3 linked regions of the Lonchura striata genome follow. The protein of the gene in region 1 interacts with the protein of each later gene in a pairwise test. Links are inferred from orthologs where the notes say so. Each region holds a gene or a part of one and is shown in the gene's direction. Other genes may lie near its edges.

Evidence for each region.
Region 2: the proteins of MGAT5B (region 1) and HOXA1 interact in a two-hybrid assay, tested with the Homo sapiens proteins (2 studies listed by BioGRID). The two-hybrid records come from large-scale screens. The link is inferred for Lonchura striata from reciprocal best matches to the Homo sapiens genes MGAT5B and HOXA1.
Region 3: the proteins of MGAT5B (region 1) and PITX1 interact in a two-hybrid assay, tested with the Homo sapiens proteins (2 studies listed by BioGRID). The link is inferred for Lonchura striata from reciprocal best matches to the Homo sapiens genes MGAT5B and PITX1.

The regions. Positions count from the first base shown.
Region 1 is NC_134621.1:3,823,854-3,834,100, reverse strand, and holds the start of MGAT5B (alpha-1,6-mannosylglycoprotein 6-beta-N-acetylglucosaminyltransferase B), read left to right. Parts: upstream 1-5,467; 5' UTR 5,468-5,534; coding exon 5,535-5,602; intron 5,603-10,247. UniProt on the Homo sapiens protein: Glycosyltransferase that acts on alpha-linked mannose of N-glycans and O-mannosyl glycans.
Region 2 is NC_134603.1:123,484,669-123,494,133, forward strand, and holds HOXA1 (homeobox protein Hox-A1), read left to right. Parts: upstream 1-5,699; coding exon 5,700-6,318; intron 6,319-6,746; coding exon 6,747-7,102; 3' UTR 7,103-7,199; downstream 7,200-9,465. Other genes in the region: HOXA2 (homeobox protein Hox-A2), read left to right, coding at 154-908. UniProt on the Homo sapiens protein: Sequence-specific transcription factor. Regulates multiple developmental processes including brainstem, inner and outer ear, abducens nerve and cardiovascular development and morphogenesis as well as cognition and behavior.
Region 3 is NC_134617.1:9,221,270-9,231,617, forward strand, and holds the start of PITX1 (pituitary homeobox 1), read left to right. Parts: upstream 1-5,582; coding exon 5,583-5,745; intron 5,746-8,540; coding exon 8,541-8,746; intron 8,747-10,348. UniProt on the Homo sapiens protein: Sequence-specific transcription factor that binds gene promoters and activates their transcription. May play a role in the development of anterior structures, and in particular, the brain and facies and in specifying the identity or structure of hindlimb.

The DNA.
Region 1 (10,247 bases):
GAGAATTCCGTGTTCCTCACCTGAGCTGGAGAATTCCGTGTTCCTCACCTGAGCTGGAGAATCCCATGTGCTGCCAGGAGCACACAAAATCCTGGGATATGATTCCATGCAGGTGCTTTTATTAAGAGCTCTGGGAATCAGGGGTCCAGACCCAAATCTGACTCCGACACGGCTTTCGAGCTGAACATATTTTATATTCTATCGTTATATAACTCACATATTAATTACTAAACTTATATTATTCTATTGTATACATTGACATGAGTTTCTCGTGATTTCCTAGGCCCCTGACCACAGTTTCTCATGATTATTCTTACGATTAAACAGTAATTATATTTAATTACTAAACAATCATCACATCTAACAATTATATAATTTATCATGTACTAGCTACACAGGTGCACTTCTAGTAAGGTACAAAATCTTCGTATACTTAGGGTATTTATTTTCTTTCAGGGCCTACTAAGCTTAATTTTCCTTTTAACCCTAAATCCCCATGATTTTAAACCCTTTTACTATCATTCTGAGGAGCAAATTTGGGTGGTGGTTTTTTTTTCTGCCCCTGGCTGGTGATGCTGCTGGCACAGGAGGTCCCTGGGGCCTTTCTGTGCTGTTGTTACAGAGATGGGCAGAGGCAGGAATGCAGCAATTGAGGCTGAGCCAGCGGTGGAGCCTGGAGTTGTTTGGTGACAATAGAAAAGCTCCCTGTCACCTGTGGGGACAGAGGAGTTATGGTGACTAATTGATCCTAATGCCCAAAGCATTTGGGCTTTGCAGCTCCTGCAATCAAATTCTCTCTCTTATCTCCAGGGCAAGGAGAACTGAAGGAAGTGGCTTGTCACAGCACATCACAGCTCCACTGTTTGCTGGCATTCTCTCCCTCTGGGATCATTGTTTTTCCATGAAGACCCAGTAGCTTTAGGCTGGAGAGGAGGCTCCAAGATGAAACTTGGGCAGATCCAGCCCCCCAGGCTTTGGAAAGCACTGAAGGAGAGGGGAGCACTCCTGGGCTGGAGTGGGGAGGCTCTGGAGGGTCCTGGGGTGCTTTTGGAACGCCAGCACATGGGCAGTGCTGGGGATAAAAGCCCAAATAAATCCTGTCACTGTATTCTCTGGGACTTCTGAAATGCAGGAGGCTTTTTATGTTCATCCATGCTTTTCATGGGCAGGTGACAGGGAAGGAGTCATTGCCACCCCAGGGCTGGGTGGGATCACATCAGGATGCAGAGGGATGCACAGACTGAGGATTTGCAGGAAGTGTGGTGTGTTCCTTCAGTTCTCTGGAGGTGCCCCCAGCCAAGCAGTGATGCATGTGCATCTGTGACCTTTGCAAGAATATATTTTAAGCTTTATTTCTGGTGGGTTACAGCCCCCCTGTGTTTATTACCCCTTTCCTGCAGCTGTGGTGACCCAGTCCATGACGTTCTGTGCAGGGAGCTTTGGGACTCGAGGCTGCACAGCAACCAAGGATCAATTAAAAATTCCCAAGGTTTTTTTGCCACGTGTCCCAGGGTGATTTTATGATGCTTGTATCCCCAGTTGTCTGTTCTGTTTGTGCTGGATATTAAGTTCTGCACCCTTAAGATTGATTCTGAGAGCGAAGGAGGTGAGAAGTGCGGAGTTTGTTAACAAATAACAAGATAATAACAAAGAGTGGTTTGACACTTTGTTAAGCACACTAATTATTTAATAACAGAGTTAATAACAAAGTGTGGTTTTCAGAAACTGCACTTGCTCCTCTGCATTCCTTCTCCTGGACTGTGTTGGCTGCAGCACGGACAGACAGCAGGACAGAGCTCTCCTTGGCTTTTAGTTAGTTTTTAGCTGGCTGGGGCAGGGAAGTTTCCTGGATTGGTTTTCTCTTTTTTGTGGAACTGCTCTACCTTTCTCTGCACTGAAAACCCAGAAAAACACTGTGAGCTCACACCTGTGGCCCACTGGGGTTTGGGATGCAGCAATTTCCAGCCCAGAGGGACTGATAAAGAGACTGAGAGAGCTGATCCACGCCTCATGATGAGGCATGTCTGAGTTTGCCATCTCTTCAGAACAGTGAGAGGTTCCATTGTTTGATAGGGTTCATTTTCCATCTCTGTGAGCACTTTGCTTGTTAAATAAACAGTTTTTTCCACTTCTCTCTAAGGAGGTTTATGTCTCCCAAACCAGTAGCAGGGAGGGGCTGCTTAATTTGCTTTATACAGGGACCCCATTCAGAAGTTTCCTCACAAATTTGCCCTAAACCAGAGCACTAGGCCAGTGGTGCAGGGCAAGTCCCATCTCCCAGAGGATGCTCTGGTGTTGGAGCTGGAATTTTGGCCCTGTCCCAATTACAGGCAGAGGGGAGGAGCAGCCTGGAGCCTGCTCTGAGGATGCTGCATGTCTGCCTCTGGCTGGCCAGGGGCTCTAATTGGTGCCAAACTTATTTCTTTTGGGCCACCTGGCTGCTGAGTTGGTTCTCTCCATTCCCTGCTGCTGCTGAATTTGGAATAACAAACAAAAGTGCGTGTGTGTGTGTGTGTGTGTGTGTGTGCAGTATAAGTTCAGCATATTGATTTTTGAGGCTATTGCTTCTCAGCTGCCGAAGAAGATAATTCACTGCTTTATTACCATCCTTGGATTTTAGATTTATCCCTCTAAACAGACAGTGAGCTGGTAGTTAATTAAGCTTTTGTTTCAAGCAGCAGCAGAGGGAAAGGACTGGCTGCTGCAGCTCTTCTCCTCAGGGATGAGGGCCCTGGGGGGTGGGGAATGCCACATTCCCATCCCTGGGGTGATGGATCCTGCATGGCTGATTCCGGTGGGAACTGGGAACTGCAGAAGTTGTTCCCTGCTGAACCCAGCGCCCTGCCAGCATCTGCATGGAGATTGACAAGAGCATATTTCTATATTTTATTTTATTTTATATTTTATTTTATTTTAATTTCCTGGTCAGTGCTGCAGGAGGCACCTGGGGGAAGCCAAGATGGCTGAGCTGCCTTCTGCCTGCCCAAAAAACATCCAAACCCTTTGGGGGTGTTTTCCAGCCCAGGATCAGCTCTGGAAAGAGGAGTGGGAGGACACCATCCCTTCTCCCCTCAGTGTCACCCACCCCTAATTCTTAAATAATTAATGTGTGGTGCTTCACCACTCCCCAGGATTTTCCTGCTGGGCAGAGCTGGATTGGCACAATCCAGAGTTTGTGGGATGCACAGAAGGACCTTGGCATTATCCTTATGGAGGTCAGAGGGTCCCACCCCACAGAACTGAGCCCACATCAGCTCTGGTCCCCTCTGGGATGTTCCCTGTCCCTCCCAGGCTCTCAGGAAGGCACATCTGGATCCTGGCACATGCCAGGCTGCTCCACCACCCACTCCATGCAGCGTTTTTGTGCTCTAGGAAAGTTTCCAGCCCCACAGAGCTGAGCTGATTTGGAAAGCAGTTCTTGGAATGAAGGGCTCTGCCTCCTGCTGCCGGCTGGAGCCGGGCTCTGGAGGGCAGCACCACATTTTGAGGTGGTTTCATAGCTCAGGTGAGCACCGAGAATTCCTGTCAGGAGCTAGGAATGGAGTGAGAAGGCAGGAAATCAGGGTAGCAGCATCCCCACAGCACCTGCACTTCACTCCTTGCCCAATGGGCAGTGAAGAACTCCAGGTGGCTTTTCCAGAGGTGCTCCCAGCTGCACTTAAATTAGCAGGGACTGAGCACCCAGCTGGTGTCTGGGCTCTGCCCGTGCCTGGTTGTGTCCACAAGGTCCCCACAGGATGGGCTCCAGGGAAGGGTGTCCTTGCCAAGATGAACTGAGGGTTTGGCTTGGCAGGGCTGGCTGCTGCTCCTGAGCCACACTTCCTGCAAATCCTCAGCCTGTGCATCCCTCTGCATCCTGCTGGGATCCCACCCAGCCCTGGTGTGGCAATGACTCCTTCCTGCCCACAAAACACGTGGATGAACACAAAAACCCTCCTGCGTTTCAGAGGTCCTGGAGAATACGGTTTTACCTCTCACTTCTGCTTGAAAAAAAAAAAAAGCTGTTTTATGGGGGAAAAAAAATCTGGTTTGGGGTAAATTTCCAGCTGCTATCCCTGAGCTCACTCGTGGCTGGTGCTGTTGCAGCTTTATGCTCCCTGGAGCTTTGCTGACCAAGGCCATTCCTGGTTTCCACTGGGGAGAAGGAAGCAGTGTGAGCATCTGGAGTGGCCATGGAAATGCAGTATCACAGCAGCATTTCCACCTCCTCAGCCCCACGGAAAACCCTGGGATTATGCACAAGCAGGGTCAGTTTGTAGAGGAGTGGGTGGCTGGTGCTGGGAGGGCATTGGAATTGCTCAGCACTCGAGGTGCAGATCACTAAGCCAGGCCAGGCAGGTGGGGCTGGAGGGAGTTTTCTCTCTCTGGAGGAAAATGGGATGGAGAAAGGCTGGGAAAAACCATGGGAAGAGAGCATCCCACTGTGGGGAAGGCAAAGGGACAGCTGTGCCCTGGTGTCACCCTGTGCTTTACGGTACCCATGGTGGTATCCAGAGCAAAGAGGGACAGCCAGCCATGAGGGCAGTGTGGCATGAGGGGGCTCTGCTGGCACCACAGCCCCCAGACCACAGCCTGGCCCTGTCCTGTAGCCTGGCCGGGGGGGGACAATGTTGTCCTGTGCTCACCCCAGGGTGCTGCATCCTTCCCTCACCCCCAGTGGGGTGCACCCATCCTGGCTGGGGCTGGAAATGGGGCGTCTCTGGGCTCTGTGCACACTTGGCTCCTTTAAGTCCCAACTTTTGGGAGGCTTTTTGTGCTTGTCACCTTCCACAGGAGAGCCGGGAACACCTCTGCTGAGCTCAGCACTGCTTCTCCTGCCTCAGCTCTCACGTCCCTTTGCCCTCCCAAGGACACGGCCCTGGTCCTCTTGGCAGCACCCTGCACCACCCGGGGGGACTTTGGGGAGCCACATGGTGGCTGTCACCGTGCACCCAGAGAGAAAACAGCGATGGGGCCGCAGAGCTGCATCCTGCTGCTGTCGAGAGACTCCAGACCCGCCTTTCCCCACTAGGGAGGTTTGTCCTGCTCCTAAACACCCCCTACAAATCAAACAGCACCCGGGCACGGCGCTCGGTGGCATTTCTGCTCTGACTGCCCCGCCAAAGGACCATCCCTGCCTCCCGAGGTGCCCACGCCGGGGCTGTCAGCTGCGCGGGGATGCTGCCCAAAACGCCATCCCCTGACCTCGGGGGGAGGCTGCCGCAGCCCCACATCCCCTGCCCCTGCCCGACCGCCCCTCTGCGGGCCGGGTTGCCGCTAGATGGCAAGCGGAGCCCGGCGGAGCCCGGCGGAGGCTCCGCGGGGCGGAGCGGAGCCGCAGCGCGGGGTGCGCGGAGCCGAGCGGAGCCGAGCGGAGCCGAGCGGGCCCGGCCATGGGCTGGGGCGGCAGCGGGCAGGGGCGAGGGTAGGGCTGGGGGGCCGCGTCCCCCCGGAGCCCCGCGCAGCCCCGCGCCCCGCCCGCCGAGCCCCGCTCGCCGCCGCCCTCGCTGCCGCTGGGGCGGTGCGGGGCCGCCCCCTGCCCGCAACTTCGAACGATGATCACTGTCAACGCGGATGGCAAGATAATGGTCAGAAGATGCCTCGTCACCTTGAGACCCTTTAGGTAAAGTTGGTGCTCGCTTCTGGCCGCCGCCGCCTCGCCCGGCTGCTGCGGGCGGGGGCTGCGGCTGGCCGGGCTCGGGCTCCGTGTGCGGTGTGGGGTGTGCGGATGGAGCCCGGATGGGCATGGCAGCGAGCCGGGCTGGGACCGGGCTGGGACCGGGCAGGGATGCGGGCAGGGACTGGGCAGGGACTGGGCAGGGACCGGGCAGGGACCGGGCAGGGATGAGGGCAGGGACCGGGCAGGGAACGGGCAGGGATGCGGGCAGGGACTGGGCAGGGACTGGGCAGGGACCGGGCAGGGATCCGGACAGGGACCGGTCTGGGACTGGGCAGGGATCCGGGCAGGGACCGGGCAGGGACCGGGCAGGGATGAGGGCAGGGACCGGGCAGGGAACGGGCAGGGATGAGGGCAGGGACCGGGCAGGGACTGGGCAGGGACCGGGCAGGGACTGGGCAGGGATCCGGGCAGGGACCGGGCAGGGATGAGGGCAGGGACCGGGCAGAGATCCCGGCAGGGATGCAGGCAGAGATCCGGGCAGGGACTGGGCAGGGACCGCACAGGGACCGGGCAGGGACCGGGCAGAGATCCCGGCAGGGATGAGGGCGGGGATTCGGGCAGAGACCGGGCAGGGATGAGGGCAGGGACCGGGCAGGGACCGGGCAGGGATCCGAGCAGGGATCCGGACAGGGATCCGGACAGGGACTGGTCTGGGACTGGGCAGGGATCCGGGCAGCGATATGGACAGCAATCCGGGCAGGATGCGGGCAGGGATCCGGGCAGGGATCCGAGCAGGGATCCAGGCAGGGATCCAGGCAGGGATCCGAGCAGGGATCCGAGCAGGGTTCCGGGCAGAGATCCGAGCAGGGATCCAGGCAGGGATCCGGACAGGGATCCAGGCAGGGATCCGAGCAGGGATCCGGACAGGGATCCAGGCAGGTCTGCCCGCGGGGCAGCGTGCGGCTCCTGCAGCTCCCGCTGCCTGCCAGCTCCCGGTTCGCCCCGCCGCCGGAGGTGTCTCTGGGGTTATCGCCGGGCTGCTCGCCGCTGGATTTTTTGAGAATGGTTCTAGGAGATGTTGGTACTCCGGGGGAATTAGGTTCCTCTGGTTTAAGCCTGCTGGTGCAGCTGGGGATTTCGAAACCCACCTTGAGCTGGCAGTGGGGCTGGGGTGGATGTCCAAACCTGAACCCCTCCGGCTCCAGCACACCCGTACCCACCCATTGCTTTTTCCCCTTGCTGTAACTCCCCATTTTTGCTTCCATACATTCCCTTCCCTCTCCAGCCCCTGCTCTCCGGCTTCCTTGATTTACTGGAGATGAGCTTCTGTTGCTCCCGAGCTTGAGACACACGGGAGATGTTGGAAGTTACCTGGTTTTTCCGTGGGGAGAGGGACCAAAACCCCTTAGAGATAGAGGCGAACGTGCCGGGGGACGGAGCTCAAGGTGGGGCGAGCCCAGCCCAGCGGTTTCCAGCGCTCCTCGCTGTGTTTGGAGCTCTGGGGTCACCGCAGGGATCTGCTCGCTGCCTTTTTGCTTAGCCCGGGCTACCCCCGGCTGGGTTTGCGCCGCTCGCTCGCTCTCAGGTGTGGGCAGCTTGTCTGCCTCTCCTCGGGAGCTGCTTGCCTCTGCTTGCCTGGAGCGATTTCTGCTGCCTGCGGCTGGGGAACTTGGCCGAGGGGATGCCACAAAGCGCTGGCAGAGGTGTGAGGGCTCCCAGAGCTCAGGAGTGGAGCAGGGAGTGATGCGAGGGACGCGAGAAGGGCGCACTCACCCGGGGAATGCTCTTTGCCTGGCTGTTTGCTCTCTTCACTGGCTTTGAATTGCACAGTGAGGAAGCGACTGGCTGGAGCATCCCTGTGCCCTGGGCATCACCCCTGAGGCAGGGGAGCCCCGTGTCCAGCAGTGACCTGGAGTCAGGGTGGGAGAGCACAGGGTGATCACAAACTCCCATTAGGGATGGGGATGTGTGTGGATGAGGGGTTTGTGATGGCTGGATGGTCTCTGGAGTCCAGGTGGAGAACTTGCACTGTCCTGGCCGTGTGCCCTGGGCTGGCTTCTGCTGTCCAACCAGTCCAGACCAGTATTGGTGCCACTGGAACCAGCAGGGTTACCTCGTTGTTAACAGCCAGGCTCTCTCTGCAAGAGGAGGAATTCCCAAGACCCTTTCCTTACTGTCCCACAGTGTCCAGGACCTCTGCACCTCCTCCCTGCTGCTGTCATGCTGCATGTGACCCCCCATGCCACAGTCCTGTGTCACCTTGCTGCCAGCCCTGCGTGGGTGAGTGCTGGCACTGCCCAGCTCCAGCCTTAACCCAGTGCAAATCACCTCTTCTCCCCCAGCATCAGCACCCCGCATCCTCGGCTGCTGTGGGTCAGGGATAACTCCAGCAGTGGGAGAAGGTCCTGGCACTCAGGCTGGGTCCTGTAAATCCTCCCCTGCTGCTGGCTGGGCAAAGCCTCGCTGCCCGTGGTGCGATCCCTGCCTGATGTGGATTGCTGCCATCAGAGGTGAGGTGCCATCAGCAAACAGCACACAGGAAACCTGATCCTGTGCACCAAAACATTTCATTAACCACCCTCCAGACACGCTGAGCAAAGCAATGCAGGGCCCTGAGCTGGGAGGGAGGCTGCAGAGAGGGAGCAGATCGGTCTGGAAAAGCACAGGAATGTCCAAGGGCGGCTCTGACTTCATCCCAGCAGCAAAGAGTGTCTCGCTTGCCGTGGTGCTGGATGCAGGCAAGAATTCACCGAGGAGCCCTGCTCCAGCTCGCCCAGCTCTGGGCTCTGTGGGTGTGTTTGCCAGCTGGGAGCCAAAGCCAGGCTTTCTGTGGGATGTAACAGAGGTCAGTGAGAGTTCACTCTGGTCCCTGCATGGATCACAGTGCCCGTGGCTCAGCACCGGTCTGACAGCACCACAGCCCTGTGGGGCTCTAAGCAAAAAGGGATTTAAGGAGAGGAGTCGTTCATTAACATGACCTCTGCTGGTAGGAATGGTGGCTCAGCTTTTGGGAGTTGAAGATTTGTCTGATAAAAGATGTTACCTGGCTCTTGGTTTCCCCCCCTCACCTGGGTGGGATTCTCCCTGTGGGTCCCAGCTGGGTGATGTGACACCATGGGCACAGTCCCAGTGTCACATTCCCAGTGTCACAGTCCCATCCTGCTGGGTGCTGCTGGCCTTCCTCCCCCCACCACATGCCAGCTCAGCACTCAGACCCTCCTGGTCACATCCAGCTTTCAGTTCCACGGGCCAAAATCCTCCATGACTGGGGCATCACTTCCAATTTTCATTTAAGACTTGAGGAATTTCACTTTTTTTTTTCTTTTGGGCACCAAGCCAGAGCCCAGAACTATGAACATTTCAGTTTGGGGAGGATGTGGAGAGGGACTTGACACCAGAACTGTGTCCGAGTGATTAATTAAACATGACATGGGATGACAGGCAAAGCCAGTATGCAGGATAGGTGTTATTTGGTCCTTGGAACTCCAGAGTCTTCAGGGAGTTAGGTTTGATTTTGGGAGAGAGGACCATCTGGGATCTGTTATGTTTTACCTACTTTGTGGTAAATTTATTTTCTGTATAAGGAGTTTCCACTCAGGTGAGTCTGGGCCAGGCACTTTTATTCACCTGGAGAACATCAGCAAAAGTAAGGGAGTTGGGGTTCTCAGGCTGAGAGTCCAGCCCTGCACCATCCCTGCTCCCTGGAGCACTGCTCTGGGCTGGATCCACTGATCCCCCAAAGACAGCAATTCCAGTAAGGCTCCAATTCATCTTTTTTTTTATTATTCTTTTTTTTTTAGGAAAAAAGCATCTTGCATCTCCCCTACTCTCTCTGTAATCCAGTCAAAATGAAAAAGGTTTTGTTTCCTAGGGAGATGGTAGAGCACAGATCACCTTTGTATCTTTTTTCTTCCCTTCCCCTTTTTCTTTCTGCTCAGTGCTTAACGATCCCTCCTTGCCAGACTATAATTATGAAGATTAAAAAGCGTCAACAAGGTCTTGCATAATGATGAAGATATTGTCAATAGGAGGTGTGAGAGCAGGATCAGGGCCGAGTATTTATTCAGGTGATGCTTTGTTAAAGTGCCCCTTGGGGGAGGGGGTACCAGGATGGGGCCTTGGGTGGGTTTTGTAGCAGATGTGCTCCCAGGGAGGACCCTGGGGTGCAGGACCTGCCTGGGCTTTGTCCCCTTTCAGCTTGTTTCCTCTCCAGCCTGCTGCTGTGCTCTCCTGCCAGGGAAGTGCCGTGGCAGACAGCTTTCCCCAAGGGCAAACTCAGCCCTCCAAAGCCAGCTGGGTGCAGCAATCCCTTCCAGGGTGTTCCCAGAGCCAGCACTGCACTGGGCTCAGCCTGTGGAAATGGCAGATAATGCACTAACGTCCCCAGATCACCCCCTCTCCAAGCTATTTATGGGACACCACGCTACTTTGCGGCATCAGGGATGCTCTGCTGCCTCCACAATCACCTCCCTGCTGGAGCTGGACCACAGCTCTCTGCAAACCCTTCTCCCAGGTCTGCCCTGGGGAGGGGCTGAGCTCTGCATCGTGCCTGTGTGCAGATCCCACAGCTCATCAGCATCTGCTGGGGAGGGGTGGCTCTGCTCCACTGCTTCCTGCCTGTGGGGCTGTGCCTGTAGCCAGCCCTTTA
Region 2 (9,465 bases), on another chromosome or scaffold:
GATGAGCTGGGGTGCTGAAATTCAATCCGTGCATTTATCTGTTTTGTATGTGTGTCCGTATGCCTTTGCTTTCGCTGTTCGGGCGGTGATGCTTTGGGGTGCGTGTGGTGGTGGTGTTTTTCTTTTTTTTTTTTTTTCTTTCTTTTTTAACAGACCCCCTTGAAATCCCCGATAGCGGTAGCGGTGGATCTAGGCGCCTGAGGACGGCTTACACCAACACCCAGCTTTTGGAGCTAGAGAAAGAATTTCATTTCAACAAGTATCTCTGTAGACCAAGGAGGGTTGAGATTGCAGCCTTGCTGGATCTGACTGAGAGACAAGTCAAAGTCTGGTTCCAGAACAGGAGGATGAAGCACAAGAGACAGACCCAGTGCAAGGAGAATCAAAACAGCGAGGGGAAATTTAAGAACCTAGAGGACCCCGAAAAAGCAGTGGACGAGGAAGAAGAGGAGGAGGAGGAGAAATCCCTCTTCGAGCAAGCCCTCAGCAACGTCTCCGGCGCTCTCCTGGAGCGGGAAGGCTACGCTTTCCAGCAGAATGCCCTCTCCCAGCAGCAGGCGCAGAATGCGCACAATGGCGAATCCCAAACTTTCCCCGTTTCGCCTTTAACAAGCAATGAGAAAAATCTGAAACATTTTCAGCATCAGTCACCCACTGTTCAAAACTGCCTCTCAACAATGGCCCAGAACTGTGCAGCTGGCCTGAACAATGACAGTCCTGAGGCCCTAGATGTCCCTTCTTTACAGGACTTTAACGTTTTCTCCACAGATTCCTGCCTACAGCTTTCAGATGCAGTTTCCCCCAGTTTGCCAGGATCTCTGGACAGTCCCGTAGATATCTCTGCTGACAGTTTTGACTTTTTTACAGACACACTCACCACAATTGACTTGCAGCATCTGAATTACTAAGAAATTAAAGAAGTCCTCTCTAAGGGTCCTGCTTTCTCCTCCTTATTTTTTCTTGATTTTTTCCCCCAGTTAATTAATTTTATGCTTCCCCTCCCTTTCCCTCTTCACTATTTTCTGTTTGTTACTTCTCTCTGATATGCCATTTTGCCGTTTCTTATGAAGTTTTAGTTGTGTTCAATTTTAACCTAGCCACATTCTAGGTCCTTCTATGAAAGCAATATATGAGGTCTGTGAGAAAGTGATCATATAGGAATGTATCTTCACTTTCTTTTTATTTTTGTATTACATTAGGATGCGTTGTCATAAGTATTTTTGGTAGAATAAATTCTTGTTTGCTACAAGGAGCTTTCTCTTTTTTCTTTCTCTTTCTCCTCTTTTTCTCTCTGCTTTCAAGACGGATAACATGACGGGTATCTCTCCCCATCCCTTCCACTATTAATTTACTAATAATCAAAATCCAACATTTTGACAACGAGCTCTTCCCTTTTGGCAATCTAGGACACTCATTAGAGAGGAAAAAATCGTTCATTTCCTTTATTGTAAGGATTCTCATAAGGGAAGGAAAAACAAACTAAAGAAATTAGAACCGTTCACAGATTTTATAGACATTTGCTCCTTTTAATGTATAAATATGGCATCTTTGTGAGGATACAAAGCTTGGAAATCCTGAGCTGTAACAAAAGCATGAATGAAGACTTTCTCTGCTACAGGCAGAACGTAAGAGTGACTCAATAGGGTAAGTGTCTCCTTCAGAAACCACCAGCCTGTTACATGAACGAAAGGAAAGTTGCTTTTAATTATTTTTTTTAATTAATCCTGGTTTTCTAGAAAGTAGTGCTTAGCAGCCAGCAAGATATTTCAGAAAACGTATCTTTAAAAATATCAGAGCTCACAAATAATGTGGTTGGTTACTTCTCACGTGCTGAGTAATCCAAGAAATCAGCCCTAGGAGGAGAGGAAATGGAGAAGTTAGTGCCTGTGAAATCAAAAGGGTGGCAGAAACGCAGGGGGAAGAAAAAATATTTAGGGAGGAACCGGCCTCTCCACTCCATCCTTCTCGGGGGCGGTGCGGGGGCAGACCCGAAGATATTTTTCTGTGTAAGCCTTCTCGAGAGATGAAAGACTGATAACGAAAAGGGGAACCTCTGACTTTAAAGTTACAATTTTCTCGGGCTCACTGCTCTTCTGCTGGAGGCGGCTAGACGGGCTTTCAGAAATCTCCACCAAATTGCCTGCCACCCGGTGTTACCGAACCCCAAAGCAGAGGGTGAGCCCCGTCCTTCGGGCTAAAACACAGCAACAGATGCCAGCGGGGCTCTGCCTCTCCGGGGCCAGGGAATCCCGTGCGGGGACATTCGCGGCTCCTTGAATGCGTGTGAGTGCGAGTGAGTCCGAGCGGTCACGTTACACAAGCGAGTGGGGCTTGGGTGGGGGGTTGTGAATGGGGTCCGTCCATGAGAGCAGTGCTGTCTCCCAGCCCTGTAACACGCTGTGGAGCTGGGATGCGTGGGTTATAGCTGGAAGGGCTGAACGCAATTCTTCCGAAAGTCATAAATCAAACTCTTTCTATGAATGAGAATGTCATCAAAGAGATCAATTGCAGGAACACATTCACAAATAAAAATCCTCTTACGTATTTGCCGAGGCTGGGGATCCCCGTCTAAAACCATTAAGTGAGAAGGCGTTTAGTCATAATTCACTTTTATTGCTCTTTTAAAACAACAGCTTGGCTGAGCTGCGGGCGCGGTGAAACCTCGGCCTCAGTTCTCCTCCTTCCCTCTGTTCCAGCCATGTCCCTGCGGAAAGCGAGCAGCCTCACCGGCATTTTCACTCCCCTGCCACTGGGTTAAATTGGACCGCAACGTTCCTGTAAGGCTTGGGGTTTCTTTTGTGCCCAGATTTCCGGATGCTGACTACACTTAAAGAAAACCAAAGCAAAACGAACTAAAAAAACCAAACCCAAACAATAAAACAAAACCCCCAAACAAAACCCAGAGATGTAAAAAAAAAGAAACGAAAATAAAAAGGAAATGGGAATATTCTACAAGGTTTAAACTTCTCACAAACTCAATTTAAATAAATGGGGGAATTCAGCAAGCAGAACCCGCCTCCGAGGCTCTGGGTGAACTATGGGGCCACAGCTGGGGCACACTCCCACGGAAAAGCCTAAACAGCCGGGATCGCCCCCTCAGCCTCAGTTCCGTGGCAGGAAACGCGGAGCGAAGCCGCGGAGGGGCCGGGATGGCCTGAGGGCAAGGGGAAGGGGCCGTAGCTCCCCCTCGCCTGGCCGCGGAGGACGGAGGGTGTGGTGTGTGCTCCTCCTCTGCTCCGACCCTTCTCATGATGTTGCCCCCATGCTTAGTGCGGGCAGCAAAACCCGAGAGCCCCGCCAGGGAAACAATGCAACAAGAGACAATGGCACCAAAAAGGCAGAGGAAAAAGGATTTCAGGATGCTGGAGACTGTAAGAAAAGTGATTGATCGGAATTTACGGGTAAAAGGGATCTAGTTGTAGTAAAATATTTTTTTTTTCCCTTGGCTAAAGGAAAAAGCATTGAGAAGATGTCAGCCCTTTTATTAGTAAGCAATACTAATCGCTGTCTTTTTTTTTTTTCTCTGCTTTGTGCAGTATTTATCACAACGGGTTTACAAGAATGAAATAAATGTGTTTACAGCTGCAGCCATAACCAAAATTGGCGCAGTATAATATCATAAACGCCTCTAGAGTGTTGTTGCTCTTGTCCTCCACTCCACCCCCCTACAGTTTAAGAAACTGAACCTTTCCAGAGGGCCCTTAACCATCCCCGCCTCTGTAGTAAATCAGAACAAATAGACGTACTGAGGGCACCGGGAATGATGCGTGGTGGAGAGGCGCCCGTCGGTTTTGGCTGACAGTAGAGCGGCCGTGCAGATGCCGTGGGATAAGGGCTGACCCAATAGCAGTAGGAAGGAGAGCTTTGCACCTAGTGTTGTTGTGTCGCAGTTCGTGTGGGAGGGAGGAGCTTGAGGGTGTGTATGTGGGTGTGTGCGTGTGTATTCGTGAGCGGGGAGTGGTAGCGTGGTAGAAGAGCCTTTTGGATTTCAAAACAAGCAAGGATCGAGCGTGAGAACAGAGGGACGTAAGAGTCGGCACCTGCAGAAATAGAGGGGGTAGCCCCTTCTGGGGCTAGTGTCAGGGGACATGACTTTCCATCCATCTTTCTCCGAGGCTGACGTTTCGCAGAACTTATTTTGAAGACTTTTGGTCCCGTCCTTTCTGCCTGCAGACGGTTGGGTGAGCTGGGACAGACGGATGCCCGGCCTTTACCTCCCCTTTCCCTTTCCGCATACGTAAAACGCATATAAGGTCGTAACCTACATCTCACCGCCATCCCTCCTTCTCTAGCCACGGACGAATTTTTTGACCCACCTCCCCACGGTGTTGGGGAGGGCTGGGTTGGAGTCGATCCTCAGAGCCGTTCCCGAGGGTCCTGGGGCCGCCTCTGCCACTGGCCATCTGCCATCTCTCCCTACCGCCGACCCGGGTGGCGGAGCGCAGGGACAAAGAGGCCGGGCCGGCGGGCTCTGCGCCTCCCTCCGCTCCTCTGCCCCTGTCCCGGGTCGCCTCCTCGGGCTGCGACCCGCGACACCCCGGACAGCCGTCCCCCCACCCTGTCCCAGGGCGGACGGGCGGCAGCGGCGCTGCGGGAGCACAGCAGATGGGCTGCGGAGCCCCCGGGCCCCCGTCCAATCATTCGTCCTCCTGCCCCCGGCTCCTCCTTCCCTAGGCTGGCGAGGGTGAGCCCGGCGAAGGCGCGGGGGGAGAAGGGATGGGGGCCAGAGGGTGGCCGGTGAGCCTGGGAGAGCACAATGGCCGTCAGTCCCAAAAGCGCCTAATTTCCATGCTAATGTCCGCGGCCGCCTGGTGATGCGGCTGGACAAGCCCCTTTAACTCTTGGCGTGGCGTCGCGTTGGGACTGCGGCGGGGCTGGACCAGCGAGACCCCCTCGGCACCGATACTATTACCGTCTCCACCTCCACCCACATCCCATCCATATCCATATCCTCGGTCCCATGCCTATTCTTTATTCTCTACCTTATCCTTACCTTCATTCCTTTTCTTATCTCAATTCCCGTCCCGGTAGAAGTCCCCAGCCGCATCCCACGGTCCCATTCTCATTCCCGTTCCAAGGGCTGATGCTCTCAGCGCTGTCTCTGCCTCTCTCCGCCCCATCCCTCGCCCCGTGCCGCGGATCCAGTCACCTCCCCTAGCCACCCCACCCCACCCCCGCCGCTGTCCTGGCCGGGGTTGATGGGCAGCAGAGGTGCCCGGTGCAGGCTTGACAGCGCCGACAGCAGGGTGATGCTGGGGCACACTGGCAGCAGCACTCACCCTGGAGGGGACGGCCGGTGGGCTCCGCGGGCCGGGCGCAGCCTCCAGGTCTCTCCTGCCTTCTTCTCTCAGCTGGCGGACGAGACCCAGGGGGCTGCCGCGGCGGGGGTGTGTGTGTACAGCCCTGCCCGGCCCGCCCCCCACCCCCTGGGGGCCACGGCCGGCGCCTCCCTGCCCGCGGTGCCGCTCGGTCGGAGCGCTCGGCGTTTAAATGCCCCCGATGCGGCGCTGTACCAGCGACAGGAGCCGGGGAAGCCCCGCGGGCGCCGCAGCCATTGGCTGCCGCCCCCCACGTGCCTGCCCGCTGCCGGCGCCTTCGTGTCATTTTCCTGCCGGCCCCATGGAGGAAGTGGGAAAGTTGGCGCGGCCCCGCCGGACGCTGAAGACCCGGTGGCGGCGTGACAGACAGACGCGGCGAGGATGAGCTCCTTCCTCGAGTACCCCGTCCTCGGCGGCGAGGCGGGGGCCTGCGCCGCCCGCGCCTACCACCCCGACCACGGGATTACAACTTTCCAGCCCTGCGCCGTCAGCGCCGGCAGCTGCAGCGGAGAGGACCGCTTCCTGGCGGGCCGCGGGGTGCCCATCAGCCCCCACCGCCACCATCACCACAGCCCGGCCCAGCCCGCCGCCTACCAGCACCACGGCGGGCTGGGGGTGTCCTACGCGCACCCCGGCTGCGGCCCGACCTACAGCGCGCAGGGCTTCGGACCGGCGTACGGCCCCTACCCCCTGGGGCAGGACGCGGAGCTGGGCGGCGGCTTCCCTCCCTGTGCCCCCGCCGTGTACTCGGGGAGCATCTCCTCCTCTGCCGCTGCGCAGCACCCGCTCCCCCACCAGGGCTACGCGGGGGCCTCCGCTCAGTACGTGCCTCCCCCTTACGGGCAGGACCAGCAGAGCCTGCCCCTGGGCACCTACAACCATGCGCTGTCTCCCCTCCACGCTGGCCACCGGGAAAACGCCCGCTCCCCCTCCACCGAGACCTCGCCGCCGGCGCAAACCTTCGACTGGATGAAAGTGAAAAGAAACCCACCCAAAACAGGTCAGTGGCCGGCGGGAGGGCCGGGGCGGGGGCCGCTCCTCTCTCTGTCCGCCGCAGGTGCGGGGAAAGAGGCGCGGTATCCCGCGGGGCTCTGGGCAGGTAGGTCGGCCCGCACCTCTGGGATCAGTCGCGGCTGCCTGCCCGCGCAGCTGAAAGCCAGCGGCGCTTATTCCCCACTTATTCCTGACTCCCCCTTCTCCTCCTCTCCCGTGGTCATATTTCTGGTAATTCATAAACCACTTATCAAGTTTGCTCTGACACTAGAGGCTGACTCCGGTTTAGCACCTCGTACTCCATCACTCACCCTGCCGGGGTTTCCCTCTTATCCTAAGAAGTTCTTGCTCCCTATCGCTTAGCCGGTGTGGACATATTGATTACATCGCCTATAAATCATTTGCGCTCACTTACCGCTGCATGTCCCCTCGCAGGCAAGGCTGGCGAGTACGGCTTCGTGGGGCAGCCCAACACCGTCAGAACTAACTTCACCACCAAGCAGCTCACCGAGCTGGAGAAGGAGTTTCATTTCAACAAATACCTGACCAGGGCCAGGCGAGTGGAGATCGCCGCCTCTCTCCAGCTCAACGAGACGCAGGTGAAGATCTGGTTCCAGAACCGGCGGATGAAGCAAAAGAAACGGGAGAAAGAGGGGCTGCTGCCCATCTCCCCCGCCACCCCCACGGGCTGCGAGGAGAAGGCGGAGGACTCGTCGGAGAAGTCCTGCTCCTCGCCCTGCAGCGCCTCGCCCGCCTCCTCCGCCTCGGACACGCTCGCTGCCTCCAACTGAGACCGGCTGCGCCCCGACGGCCGCCGGGCGCGACGCCCCCGCCGGAGCGGCACGCGTCCTTCCGCCGCTCTTATGTCGGTCCCTCGGTCGGTCGGTATCCCCGAGAGGTCCCGGCGAGCTGCCGTTCCCTCCCCCGCTACCTCCGCCGCCGTCCGGCCCCGGGGGTGCCGGCTCCGCCGGGTCCCGGCGCCTTGGTGCTAGGGGAATTTTCTTCCTGGCCCCCCCTTCCTTTTCTGTTAAGGGTGGAGCTGTGTTGGCATCCGCGTAAGGGTCCCCCTCCACCACTGCAAGGACGCTCCACCGAGTTTCCCTGAGTGAAAGACAGGTTATTTAGGGTACATAACCTCACAAAGAGATGCACTATTGCAAGTGTTTACACGACTTATAGGACATTCATCCCCTTAATTTAATGTATTCTTTGTTCGTGTCAATGTATTTGTTGCTTGTAAATACTTTGTCCGAGAGATTTATCTTTTTACAGATTTTTCTAGAATGATGTTTCGATTATCAGGTTAAGCAGGGTGAGTGCATTCGCCAAACTGGATCCATTTTTATATTGGTAAAGTAGATGACCGTATCAAGTAAACGTCTTAAGCTCAAGCAGATACCTCAAAAAAGTAGCGCTATTTCTTTAAATGTGACAAACAAGGCTTCAATTGCACTAGGTTTTTTTAAACCTTGCCCAGTGTGCTTGTCCCCCCTCCTTTTCCCCCTGCCCCAAAAGCTGTGTTGGATTATGTGCAGCTGAAGGGCACAAGCATCCAAAAGACCTCGCCTCTTCCTATTTTCATATTAACCTTCCTTTAGACTCGATGTCTTTTCAAACTACTCGTGAATGTGACAAATGGCCAAATGAATGTATAATTTCTGTGGTTGGTGTCCAGACCTTTGCATGACGCACCGTGCTTTGCTGTACTGCAGGTACACTGAGTTCTATCAGTTGTCGTGTGTGAGCAAAATGTCCTGATTTTTCTGTACAATCATGAAAGGCTCTGTGATTCCACCAGTGGTGGAAGCCAGGGCAGGATTTACGGGTCCTTATAATGTCTGTAATAAATATATTCCACTTTCAGGTAGCTCTTGTCTGCCTACCTCTGCGTGACGTCAGCGCTGAGTCACAGGCTGGGCTCAGCGCTTTTGTTTCCCTTCTTTTCTTCTACTGGGGTCTTTCCAATGGGCAAAGGGAGTAAGAGTCTCACAACCCCTCCTGTGTTGTTTTGTCAGAGTCAGAGAACTAGCTGCCCAATCTGACATCCTACACAAAACTTCTTCCTCTCCTATGCTCAAAAAATATTATTTTTAGACAATATAAGGCCCTTCTCTCCATTCTCTGTAACTGGGAGGAATTTATGATCCCAATCTAATTCTGAAGCACAAACAGGAGAACTTCCTGGGTCAAGTGCTAACCTTTTCACCTCGGGATGGATGCTGACACTTAAATAAACAGAGCACCCTTCAAAAGCAGAAACTCTCTTCAGCCAGTCTTTCCTCACGCTGCAGGCCCCTCTCCAAGGACTGCATATTTAATTAGCCTGGGCACTAAGCTTGTCCGGCTTCTCTCTCCATTCCAAGCTGCTTTCCCCAGCGCTTGATGGGGTGCCAAAGTGGGAGATGGCTCCCAGTGTGTTTTTGGTGTTAATCCCGGGCCCGTTCCACCATCCCTTCCCCTCTTTCTCCGCGCCCCCCCTCCCACCCCCCCAGCCCGCCGTGTACAAGAGAAAGCTCTTGCAGGTAAATATAGTAACTATTCCAAGAAATGTCAAGTGAACAGCAGGTGGGGAAGGGAGAGGAGCCTCAGCGGGGAGATCCTGGGTGGCAGGACACAGTAGAGGCATGCTCAGCTGGACGGGGGATGTCTCAAGCCACTGATGCCTCTTGAATTACAACGCAAACACGCCTAACATCTCCTTCACCCGGCCCAGCTGCGGGAAGTGCTACCGGGCTTCTCCTGGGGCTGATCTGCCCACGCAGGCTTCGCTTTGCGGGATCCACAGAGAGTCAATGAAATTTTCTTCACTTCGGTGTCAAAAGAGACAAGCCCTGATTTGCAAGGCGCGGCGGCCATATCAAGAGCCGAGCTATCTGCCAGGGAGCAGGGCTGTCTCCAAAGGCTCCCGCCGATGCCTCTATTTCTTTCATTTCCCCGCCTGCCATATACTTTACCTTTTGTTGATTAGTGTAAAGCCACAAAGCAAAACAGATGGCCTTCTTCCAGAGTCTTGGATGTGTTAAAGTGGCATTTACATGCCAATGAGGGCATTTCAATATCGAAATCTGGATCTAAACATTAATGGAATCCGGATCTACAACTCGATTCCACCGGTGTTGACTTAATGTGTTAGAAAGAGCGGCCATAAATTACG
Region 3 (10,348 bases), on another chromosome or scaffold:
CCCGGCTGCTTCCAGCTGCAGAAACCCGAATAAAAAAACCGTTTCTCCAGCCGTCAGTCGTTGCATTTCAAGAAAGCCTTGGGGTATCATTTGTATCTGTCAGAAAACATTAAGCCTTCAACATTTTCATCCCGAGCTTTTTCAGGCGCTGCCGCTGGCCGCCGCGCCCGGGGGAGCCCCGCAGCGGGATGCGGCTGGCGGGGCGGGGAGGCAGCCCCGGCTATCCCGGGTGCCCCGGGAAGTGTCCAGGGCCGGACAATCCCTCGTGCCTTTCCCCCGTCGTGTTTCAGTGGCGGGGAGAGCCGAGGCGGTGGGGCAGGGCCGGCCGGAGCGCGGGGAGCGGGATGGGGCAGGGAGGCAGCGGGAGGCCGGGGGGCCGAGAGCGGCCGCTGGAAACCCTCCCGCAGAGCATCCGCGGCGCGGAGGGGCCCTGCGCTCCCGCGGAAGGCGGAGGCTTGGCCGACATATGGAGGGACGAAGGCTGCTCGTCCAAAAGGGGCTGTTTTCGTTTTGTTCTACTTCTTAGGAAAATTGCTGTCCTGGCTGCGCAGAGGAGGACAGGCCGGCCGGGAGCCAGCGTAATTTTCCACCTTCCCCTCCTGAGCGATTTAACACGCACTTCGGGCTAGGTTTCTTCCCTCTCACTGCTTCCCACTGCACCCCGCCCGTGGGGGACCCGGCTCTAGCTCCGGCAAAGGTCGGGGGGTTCTGGGGCTCCTTTCGCCGTTTTGGGGTTTTGCTTCCTTTTCCCTTCAGGCCTGGGCCACGGTCGCGCGGAGAGAGCAGAGCTTGGCCCTGCGCGGGGGCATAAACGCGGATCTGCACCTTCTGCATAAGGGTCATGCTTTTCATTTGGGATGATGCTGTTTTGAGGCAGGACACCCCTGGAACACTTCCCCGACGGACACCACCCCTACGGTACAGTGCAACAACAGCCCCTGCCCCCGCCCCGTGCTCCGCGGGGCATCGCGCATCGCCGGACTCTGCTTCTTCCGACACGCGTGGTCATCCGTGGGTCAGAGTCATGCATCAGCAAAGTGCGCCCGTGTGGCACTTTCTGGATGGTTCCATTATTAAAAGTTGTTTTCCTGCAGCAGGTCCGGTCTCCGGTTCAGCAAAGGGGGCGCCAAGGGAGGTTGGCGGTTTGGTTTGGGCTTGGTTTGGCTGGGATTGCATTGTTTGGGTTTTGCTGGGCTTGGTCTGGTTGCATTCATTGCAGTTTGGTTTGGTTTGGTATGGTTTGGTTTGGTTTGGTTTGGTTTGGTTTGGTTTGGTTTGGTTTGGTTTGGTTTGGTTTGGTTCGGTTCGGTTCGGTTCGGTTCGGTTCGGTTCGGTTTGGTTTGGTTTGGTTTGGTTTGGTTTGGTTTGGTTTGGTTTGGTTTGGTTTGGTTTGGTTCGGTTTGGTTTGGTTTGGCTGAGTGGACTTGAGTTTGGTTGAGCTGGATTGGGTTTGGTTGGACTGCGTTTGTTTGAATTGGCGTTGTTTGGACTGCACTTGGCTGGTTGAACTGGGTTTGGTTGGGTTTGCCTTGGGGGGCTTCTCCCTCCTCACTTGCCTCACTGCACCTCTGTTTCTCAGAAGGCTTCCCTCTCTTCTCGGGTAGAGGTGTGCTTGGGAGGACGTGTCTTCATTTTTGTAACAATTCCCAATGATTTATAGACTGAATCTTAGTCTATACAGCGGTAATAAATCTGAAAAGGAAAAGCTGGCAGAGACTGAACTTCATCACCTGATATATGGCCCAGGTGGTTTGGCATTGGCTGCAACCACCGCAACCAGCGGGGATGGGAGCGCCACTCCAAAAGTAGGGACCCGCTCCAGACACCTGGGGGTGAGACGGCGCTGTCCCCTCGGGGACAGTGAGAGTCTCGCTCTCGGACAGACGCGTCTCTTCTTCACGAGGCTGTCACTGGCGTGGCCAGCGCTGATTTGTTTCTAAGCTCCATCCTTAGTTCTGAGGTTATTTATAGCAGGAGGAAGTGGTGCGGTTTTATTTGCGGGTTTCCAGCGTTTTACACATCCCTGACGCAGTCCCCAGCCGGCGGTGCCGGGAGCGCGGTGGCTGCGCGGGCGCGGAGCGGCGGTGCCCTCCGGCCACCCCACGCGGAGCGTTCCCACGAGAAGCTGTCCCGCCACCCGGGTCCCCGCCGATGCTCCGCGGGTCCTGCTCGCCCCGGCCCTGCCCTCCCCCTGCCTCTGCCCGGCCCTTCCCACGCCCACGCAGGTCGCGGCTCCCCAGGGACGTCCTGGCGGGGTCTCCGCGGCCGGGCTGCTGCGGCTCCTGCTCCTCCCCGCAGCTCCTCAGCCCCCCCGAGGCGGTGGGAGAAAGCGGCACCCGAGCCCGGTGCCCCCGTCCTGCCCAGCCTGTGCGGCCGCTGGGCCGCCTCCAAGCCCCGGGAAGCGCAGCCGGCTCCGAGCGGGACATCAAGGATTGCCGCGGGTCGTGCCTGGCCGAAAGGCGTGACGTGAGGTCAGCGAGGCAACGAATGACGTCACGCGAGCGGACCGTGACGTAACGCCTGGTGAAGGAGCTGCCGGCGGAGAGATGTCCTCGCCATCCCGCAGCTGAGCGCTTGGATGGGAGGGAAGAGGAGAAGCGCAGATCTGGGGGTGACCGCCCTGGAGGCGCGCTCTATCGTGACATAAGTGTCGGGAGCAGCAGCGGGAATTACCGGGAGGATTTGGTTCTGCGCTCCAGGACTGTGCCCACTGCACGGAGTGCGGAGTGAGAGGATGCCCTTAAATCCACGAAAGACGTATGAGACACACAGAGGAGACAGATACATGGTATGGATTAGATAGATACAAGATTAGATTAGATAGATTTATGATATAGATATATTCTCCCACTGCCGAGCCGTGCTCAGGTGTGCGCTAAATGCCCGCCCACGCCGCGGCCCAGGCACGGACACTCATGGAGACGGTCAGGGGATAACCTGGATCTGCTCCGGCTCCCGAGGGCCAGCCCGGTGCTCTCTGTTTAAGGGTGGTATCGGGGGATGTCTGCCCCGGTGACACTCCACGAGGAACCGAGGGCAGCGATCGCCTGGAGAGAACAGGACCCGGCGTTACCGCGGTCGCCGCCTCGGCAGAATCACGCCGGTGCCCGGGCAGAGCCTATCTTTCCGTCCAGCGGGGAGGAATTGAACCTAGAACGAATATTTTAAAACTAGATTTTATAGAACAGAATAAAAAACGTAATTCGGTGCATTATTTTTTTAAAAAAAGAAAAATTAAATGAAACGGGAAAATGCTGCCTCCGGCTCGGAGGTTGCTGTGAGCAGTGGGTTTAAAATAGCCGGAGCGGAGCCAGGCTGTTGGCAGACTCGTGGAATCATAGAACCATCAAGGTTGAAAAAGACCCTTAAGGTCAACGCCTCCCTCCCTCCGGCCCGCTGCGCTCCGTCCCCCTTCCGCCGAGGGCGGGGGAGCCCCCGCAGGCCCATCCAGGGCTGCCGCCCACGGAAATAAAGGGAAAAAAGGGGACGGTGAAGGGTCTCAGATACGGCGCACGTTTGCAGTAATACACCTCCCCCCTCCTTGGGAGAAAGGCCGCTCCCACCTCTTGCTTCTCACACTGGAGGAGGTCTCCATCCTTCCCGTGCCTCCTGCATCAGCTGAGCCCCTTGAGGCTCGGAGACCCCGGTAAATATTTGCATTTTAAACCACGTCCATCTTAAACAGCCCCGAGGTTGTCTGGTTCACCTCGGGTGCTCGAAATTCCCTGTCGTTTGCAGACTCCTGAGCGAAGTTCAGCTGGGAGCGGCGAAGGCCAGAAGGACATCAAGATGTCACTTTAAAAAAATTAACAAAAAGAAAGAGAGCTCGGGAGAGATGACCCTGACAGCACCCACATGTGCATGCCCTGAATGATGCTAAAGACCAGAGGTGAAGGGATTTGGAGCTTTGGGCTTCCCACACCTGGGGTCCCCAGGCCTTGCGGGGTGCTGCCGGGGGTGCGGGGCGGGCCCGACTCCATCATCTCCGTGAGGTCGGAAAAATCCTGCGCGGCTGCAACACTGCTTCCCTCCACTTTTCCATAAAACAGTTCAAAAGTTCTCTCCCACATCTTTACTTGATTTGAAAGCAAAATAGAGTGTCAGGATAGATCAGTTAAAATGAGCCAAGAAAGTAGAGAGGAGAGAAGGTCCTTTCCCTAGACAGTCAGAGCCAGGGTCTTCCTCCCATTTCTTTCTCCCCTTTCCTCTCACCGCCGGTACCCGCGGTTCCCACCTTTCTTCTCCCGTGGGATTTTCCACTTCGCCAAGACACCGAGTTGTTATCCAGGAGGGCTAAGGCCGTATCCCGGCCTGCGTGGGCCGCACCGGGGACGGGCCGTGCTCCACACGCCCCTGCCTCGGGACAGGATGCATCAATGCAGGAGAGGGGCTCTGCCGAGGAGGGGTGGGGGTCTCCCACCTCCCTCCCCGCAGGCTGCCCAGGCTCCCGGACTGGCATAGTCGCAGAGACCCCTCCCGAGGGTCAACGCGAGTTCGGCTGCAGCAGGAAAATTATTTGTTATTAATCGTGTGCTGAAAGATGGTGTGATGGGAGAGATGGCACTGCCGCTGCTCCCCGGGCTGCGCTCCCCTGGCCGCCAGCCGGGCCCGGGCAGCGTTCTTATATCCCCCGCAGACTGGAAAATAATGTTTAAAAAGGTTAAAACCAGTTCCGACAGAGCCCACAGCCCATGCACCCCTCCAGGAACATTTTCCCCGTGAGACTGAAATGTGTGGTGGGGTCACTTAGCCCCGCGCAGAAACCCTGAGGAGTGCGCGGGTGCGCATCCACTGCTGGGTGCGGAGGTTCCGCGGGTCGTGAGGCCCAGTCTGGAAGGGTGTGGGGATACCCGTGGGGCTGCCGTGCTGCACGGGGGCGCAACCTGCGCGCTGCCGGCTGGTAGGGGATTACGGAGGGGAGTGAACTGACGGGGTGCTGGCAGCGGGCGGGGGTCCCCAGAGGATTGTCCACCTTTCCATTCGTTTGTGAAATATTTTTAATACATCACCGAGTTTGGGGGAGGAGGCGGGTGAAGAGAAGGAGGAGGGAAGGCACCCCCGAAGGAGCCGCGGCCAGGCGGCGGGGGCCGGGCAGGGGCGGCGGGGGCCCGCGGGTCTGGCCGCGGACGCGCAAGGGGCGCGGATGGCGGGGAGTGCGGAGTTGGGTCCCGCGCGGCCGGGCTGGGCCAGCGCTAGATGGAGTGATGCATGAGCGAGACGGGGAGGTTTTAACCTTCAGGGGGAGGAGCCCCGTTTAACTACAGGCATTTGTTCTAGGGCAGGTCACTTTAATCTCTTTAGCTTTAAACTGTCCAACTCGCAACTCGCGTTTCTCTATAAGGGATCTTTACCACTTCCCTGCCTATGCGGCCGGAGCGCCGTGACTCTCCCCAGCAGAGACAACCGCCTTCCACGCACTGCCCAGATTGCTTCCGACACCCTTAAAATAATACTGTTAGTAATAAGTGGATTTGCTTTTGGTTTTTGTTGATTTTTTTTCTTCTTAAAAAAAAAAGCTCCTTGTTCCTTTCTGTGTGGAATAAACACCTGCAAACTCCCCCAGGCAGCCCGGCGCCCCTGCCATGGATTCCTTTAAAGGTGGAATGAATTTGGAGAGACTGCCTGAGAGCTTGAGACCCCAACCCTCCCATGACATGGCTTCCAGCTTCCATTTGCAAAGATCCTCGGAACCCAGAGACCCGATCGACAACTCAGCCAGTGAATCCTCCGACACGGAGGTGCCAGGTAACCCTCCCCCTCCCCGCGCCCCCGCGGCCCCGGCCCTCTCCCCCCGCGCTGCCTCCCCCTCCCCACCGCGCCTTCCCTCCGCGGGGCGGCCGGGGGTGCCGAGCCCGCGATGGAGGCGATGGAGGGACAGGGGTGAGCAGGAGCTGCCGGTGATCGCGGCGACTCCATCCCAACCGAGCCCCGGGAACCGGAGCGGGGGGCAGGGGCCCTCCTGGAGCTGCCTCCCCCACCGTGCCCGGCGCTGACAGCCCGCCGGGGGGACACATGGCTCCATGGTCCCATCCCAGGAGCTGCTCTCTTTTATTTATTTTATTTATTTTTAAATAAAAAACTGTCGTTATTAATTGATGGGGTCGGGAGGAAGGGGAGGCTCTTCGGGGAGTGCGGTTTTGCCGGATGTTTCTGAAATAATGTCAGCTTTTGCCCGGGTTTATTTTCCAGCTCGGGTGGTGCAGAGATGGAAAAAGATCTCTCTGTCAGCGAAAAGAATTTTTTTTAAAAAGAAAGAAAGGGCAGGCAGAGCCGGAGAGGCAGCGTGGGGCCAAGGCAGGCAGTGCGGGCCGCCGCGGAGGGGATGTGGGCGGCCGCGGAGAGGTTTTGCGTGGGAGCTGAACGCTTTCCCCGCAGGAAAAGGGAAGGATCCCCATGCCCTGACCATCGTGTGCGAGGGCTACAGGGAACGCTGTGCTCTCAGATTGCATTTAATTAAAACAACAACATTTTTAGAATGACAAGGGAAAGGTAGAAGAGAGGAACAAAAACTTAAAGAAGGAGTGTGATATTCCTTCTCCAGCCAGACTGTTTCAGAGGGAGTTTATGTTTTATATAATTTTATTTTTCTAATAGCTATTGTTGCTCTTTGGAATTTTAACCTAGAGAGTAGCTGTTGTAAGAGTCGGTCCCAAAGTGGCACTCGGTGATTGAAAAAGGTTTGGGTTGTACTGCCCGGCCTGATTCGCAAACAAAGTTAGAGACCGGCGTCTGGAAGGGACTCTGAGATTAGAGGGGATTATTGGAGATTAGAGAGGGAGATTTGCTCCATTTTGCCCTACCCCTGTGTGTGACCCCTCGGTGCTGCCGGAGGGCTGAGGAGCTGCCTGCTTTTCTTCTCCGAGAACCTGTAAAATGCCTTTAGATTTTATTTTTTTAATGTGAAAAAAAAAAAAAAAAAAGTAGTTACAAAAGCCGATTAAAGATGCCTTGCCTTATGATTTGGAATTGTATCACAGCCCTGCGCTGAGGCCGGATTTTTAGGGCGGACCGGGCGAGTTAAAAGTCAGCGCTGGGCGAGGGGCCGCGGCCGGAGCCCATCGGGACCGCTGCCGCTCCCCGATCGCCCCGCTCCCTCTCGGGCGCTTGATCCGAGCCGTTCGCGGCCCAAGCGGGAGGATTTGTTTTGGCGGGGGTGATTTCTGTTTCTGTTTCGCCGCCGCCGCCGGGCCATGCGGCTCGGCCGGTCTGGGGACCGGGGGGCCCGGGGCGGTGGGGTCTGCGCTGAGAGGCCTTGGCTTCGCTGCAAACCCCGCAGAGCCATCGGCCCCTTTTGGGGGTCCGCTGAGCAGCTGAGGTTCGCTCGCACCCTCACCCCTTTCCCTGTGCAGGGCTCCCAGCAAGGTGCGATTCAAGGGTGACTTTGCAAGGACGAGTCCTCCCGGGCTCTGCATTCAGCACGAGATTATTTTTAGACTCCCGCTTACCTCGCAGAGGTCGGGGCTGTAGAAATAACCCCGGGCCCGCCGGCGGCGGGAGAAAACCTTCTGTTTAAAAACAAAAGCAAAAACAAACAAAAAACCCAAACCAACAAACAAAAAAAAACTCTTTAAAGGAGGAGAAAAAAAAAAAACAAAACTCCAAGGGCGAAAACTCGCCGCGGTTTTTCCCTTCTGCAGCAGCAGGACCGAGGCCGGGCTTGGCCGCGGCCCCGGCCCTGCACGGCCCGGCCGCAGCTTCCCCGCGCCTCCGGGGCCCAGCCCGGGAGCTCTTTGGTTCAGGGCCTTTAGAGCCGCTCCGAGCGCTTCAGCCGGGACAAACCGGGCCCAAGCCGGGCTGGGAGAGCCACAGAGCCCGTTACGAAAGGGGAGAGGGGGTTCGCAGGGTCGGTATTGAATTCCTGCTCCCAGCCCGCGCAAATCCCGGCCCAGAAAACCCTCCTGGGTGGTTTCTTTTTTCTTTCCTTCTCCGATATGATTTTTGCGGAGGGCTTCGCTCAGCCCTGTGTTAAAATAAACACCAAAATCCTAAAAGTTGAAGAATAAAATAATTATGAAAGTAGAACGAAGGAGGGGAGCAGAGAGGGGCCTTTTGCAATTAATTGCTCCGGGGTTTTCCACCCTTGCCCTTCCAAAGTTTCCTGTCGCGGCCGAGCACAACAAAAACAATGGAGCAAAGATCACGCCTTGGTTCGGAGGGAGCGAGAAGGTGCCGTAGAAAGGCGGAGCGGCCGGTGATACGGGGACCCCGCTCCCCACGAATGCAGTCACCCGTCGGGCCCGCTTTGAGCCGCTCTGAGGGTCCCTCCTGCTGCATCCCTGGGTGCCCTGGGCCCGGCAGGGCTCCCTGCTCCTTCCCCAGCCGCGCCGGGAAAGGCCGGGATGGGCTGTGGGGCGCTCGTTTGGTGCAGGGCTCGGCGGGACACAGTGGGGCCCCCACGCGTGTCTCCGGTGGGGTGGGCAGCGCTGACTGCGGGGCGGGGATATCTGCCTTTGTGTGTCTGTACTGGGAAAAAAATTAAAGCACAAAAACACAAAACAAAACAAAAATAAACCAACCATCCCCAACCCGACCCCTCGCAGAAAAAGAGCGTAGCGGCGAGCAGAAAAACGAAGACGGGGCCGCCGACGACCCGGCGAAGAAGAAGAAGCAGCGGCGGCAGCGGACCCACTTCACCAGCCAGCAGCTGCAGGAGCTGGAGGCCACCTTCCAGCGAAACCGCTACCCCGACATGAGCATGAGGGAGGAGATCGCCGTCTGGACCAACCTCACCGAGCCCCGAGTCCGGGTAAGAGGGGCTGCAGCCCCGCCGGGAGCGAACTCTGCTCCGGGGCCGCCGGAGCGCGGGGGGCTCGGGGAAGCCGCCCCTTCTGGGGAGCGCTGCGACGGATTGCTCTGGGCTGGATGTTAATGGCCAAAATTGGGATCCAGGTCGGAGAGGAGGAATTCAGCTCTCGGCCACGGAGAGATGCCGCCCGGAGCGGGTAGCGACCGCCGGCCCTGCACTGGGGACCGGTTCGAGAAGTGGGCGGCGAGCGGTGCAGGGAGCAGCGGAAGGCCAGGGTGGGGAAGGGTCTGACTGTGGGGGGAAGAACCCTCTGGGCTGGACGAAAAGCGCCGCAGAGATGGAGCAAAATGCCATCCGAGCGACTTCCCCTCGCTCTGGTTATTCCCAGTAATCGCCAGGGCCGTGTCCCAGCAAGCCGCTGCCCCTCGCTATCGCGGCGTGGCGAGCTCCGATCCGCTCCGTGCGGGTCTCGCTGCCGGCCCCTCCCGGCTCGCGTCCCCCAGGCCGCGGGCTCTGCGTGCAGGCCGAAAGCGAAGGACAGGGGATGGGAGCCCTCATAAAATCAGTACGCGCTGAAGACACAAACTTCTACCGCGAGGGCGCTCGATTTTTACACGCCTCGGAGCCTATGCCACCATATATATTTATATATGGATATATGGTGTATATATACATATATAGCATACATATATATATATGCGCCCCTCTTAGCCAGACTCGAGGGGTTTGGTAATGTTAGTACACACGGCGAGAAACATATGTATGTATGTGTGTGTATGTGCATGCATACATATATTTATTTTTATATTTTTATATATAGAGATGTGTGTGTGTGTGTATGTGTGTGCTTCGGCAGTTCTTTACAGAGATTTATGAGCGAAAGATCCTGGCAAAGAACGACTGGGCCGAAGCGGCTCGATCTCTATGGATCTATCACTGTGTCTCGGTTTGTCCATCTCCCAAATGCTTTTTTCCACCCGAGACATTTCCCCGCGGGGTTTCGACAGTGGTCGCACACCACGGGCCCGTGGGCTAAGCGCAGGAGGAAACGGGAACTGCGGAGCGAAGCCCCGCTGCACGGAAAGTGCACTTCTTCTTTTTTTCTTTTCGTTTTTAGTTTTTAACTTGGCAATTAAACCTTGAGTGACCAAATCGGATTACAGAGATTCTGCTTTAAACATTTGAAAAGTAAACACCCATCTGAAACAATTGCGTCTGAAAGCATTGTCTTAATTGAGTTTGAAACAAAACAAAGCCTGAGCATTAATATTGGTTGAATATTTCAGGGAACAAATATAACTAAAATATGAGTTGCAATTAACATAATTTCGTTCTCCTTCTGTGTGGAGATGTTTGGGTTTGATGTTTTGAGATGGCAGATTGCAAATCTAACCTTAATTTGCTATGAGGGCCTTCCTTTAAAATGTCTAGGAGCCATAATTAAAACTATTACCCTCATTTTCAGGAAATTCCTGTCTGGAAGCACCTTCCGAGGAGTATATTACAGGTTTTGAACATGTTGGCTTTCGTTTCCTATTTATACAGGATTCTTTTTATTATTGTTATTTTTTAAAATAGACTCCGCCATCCGTTCCCCCACGG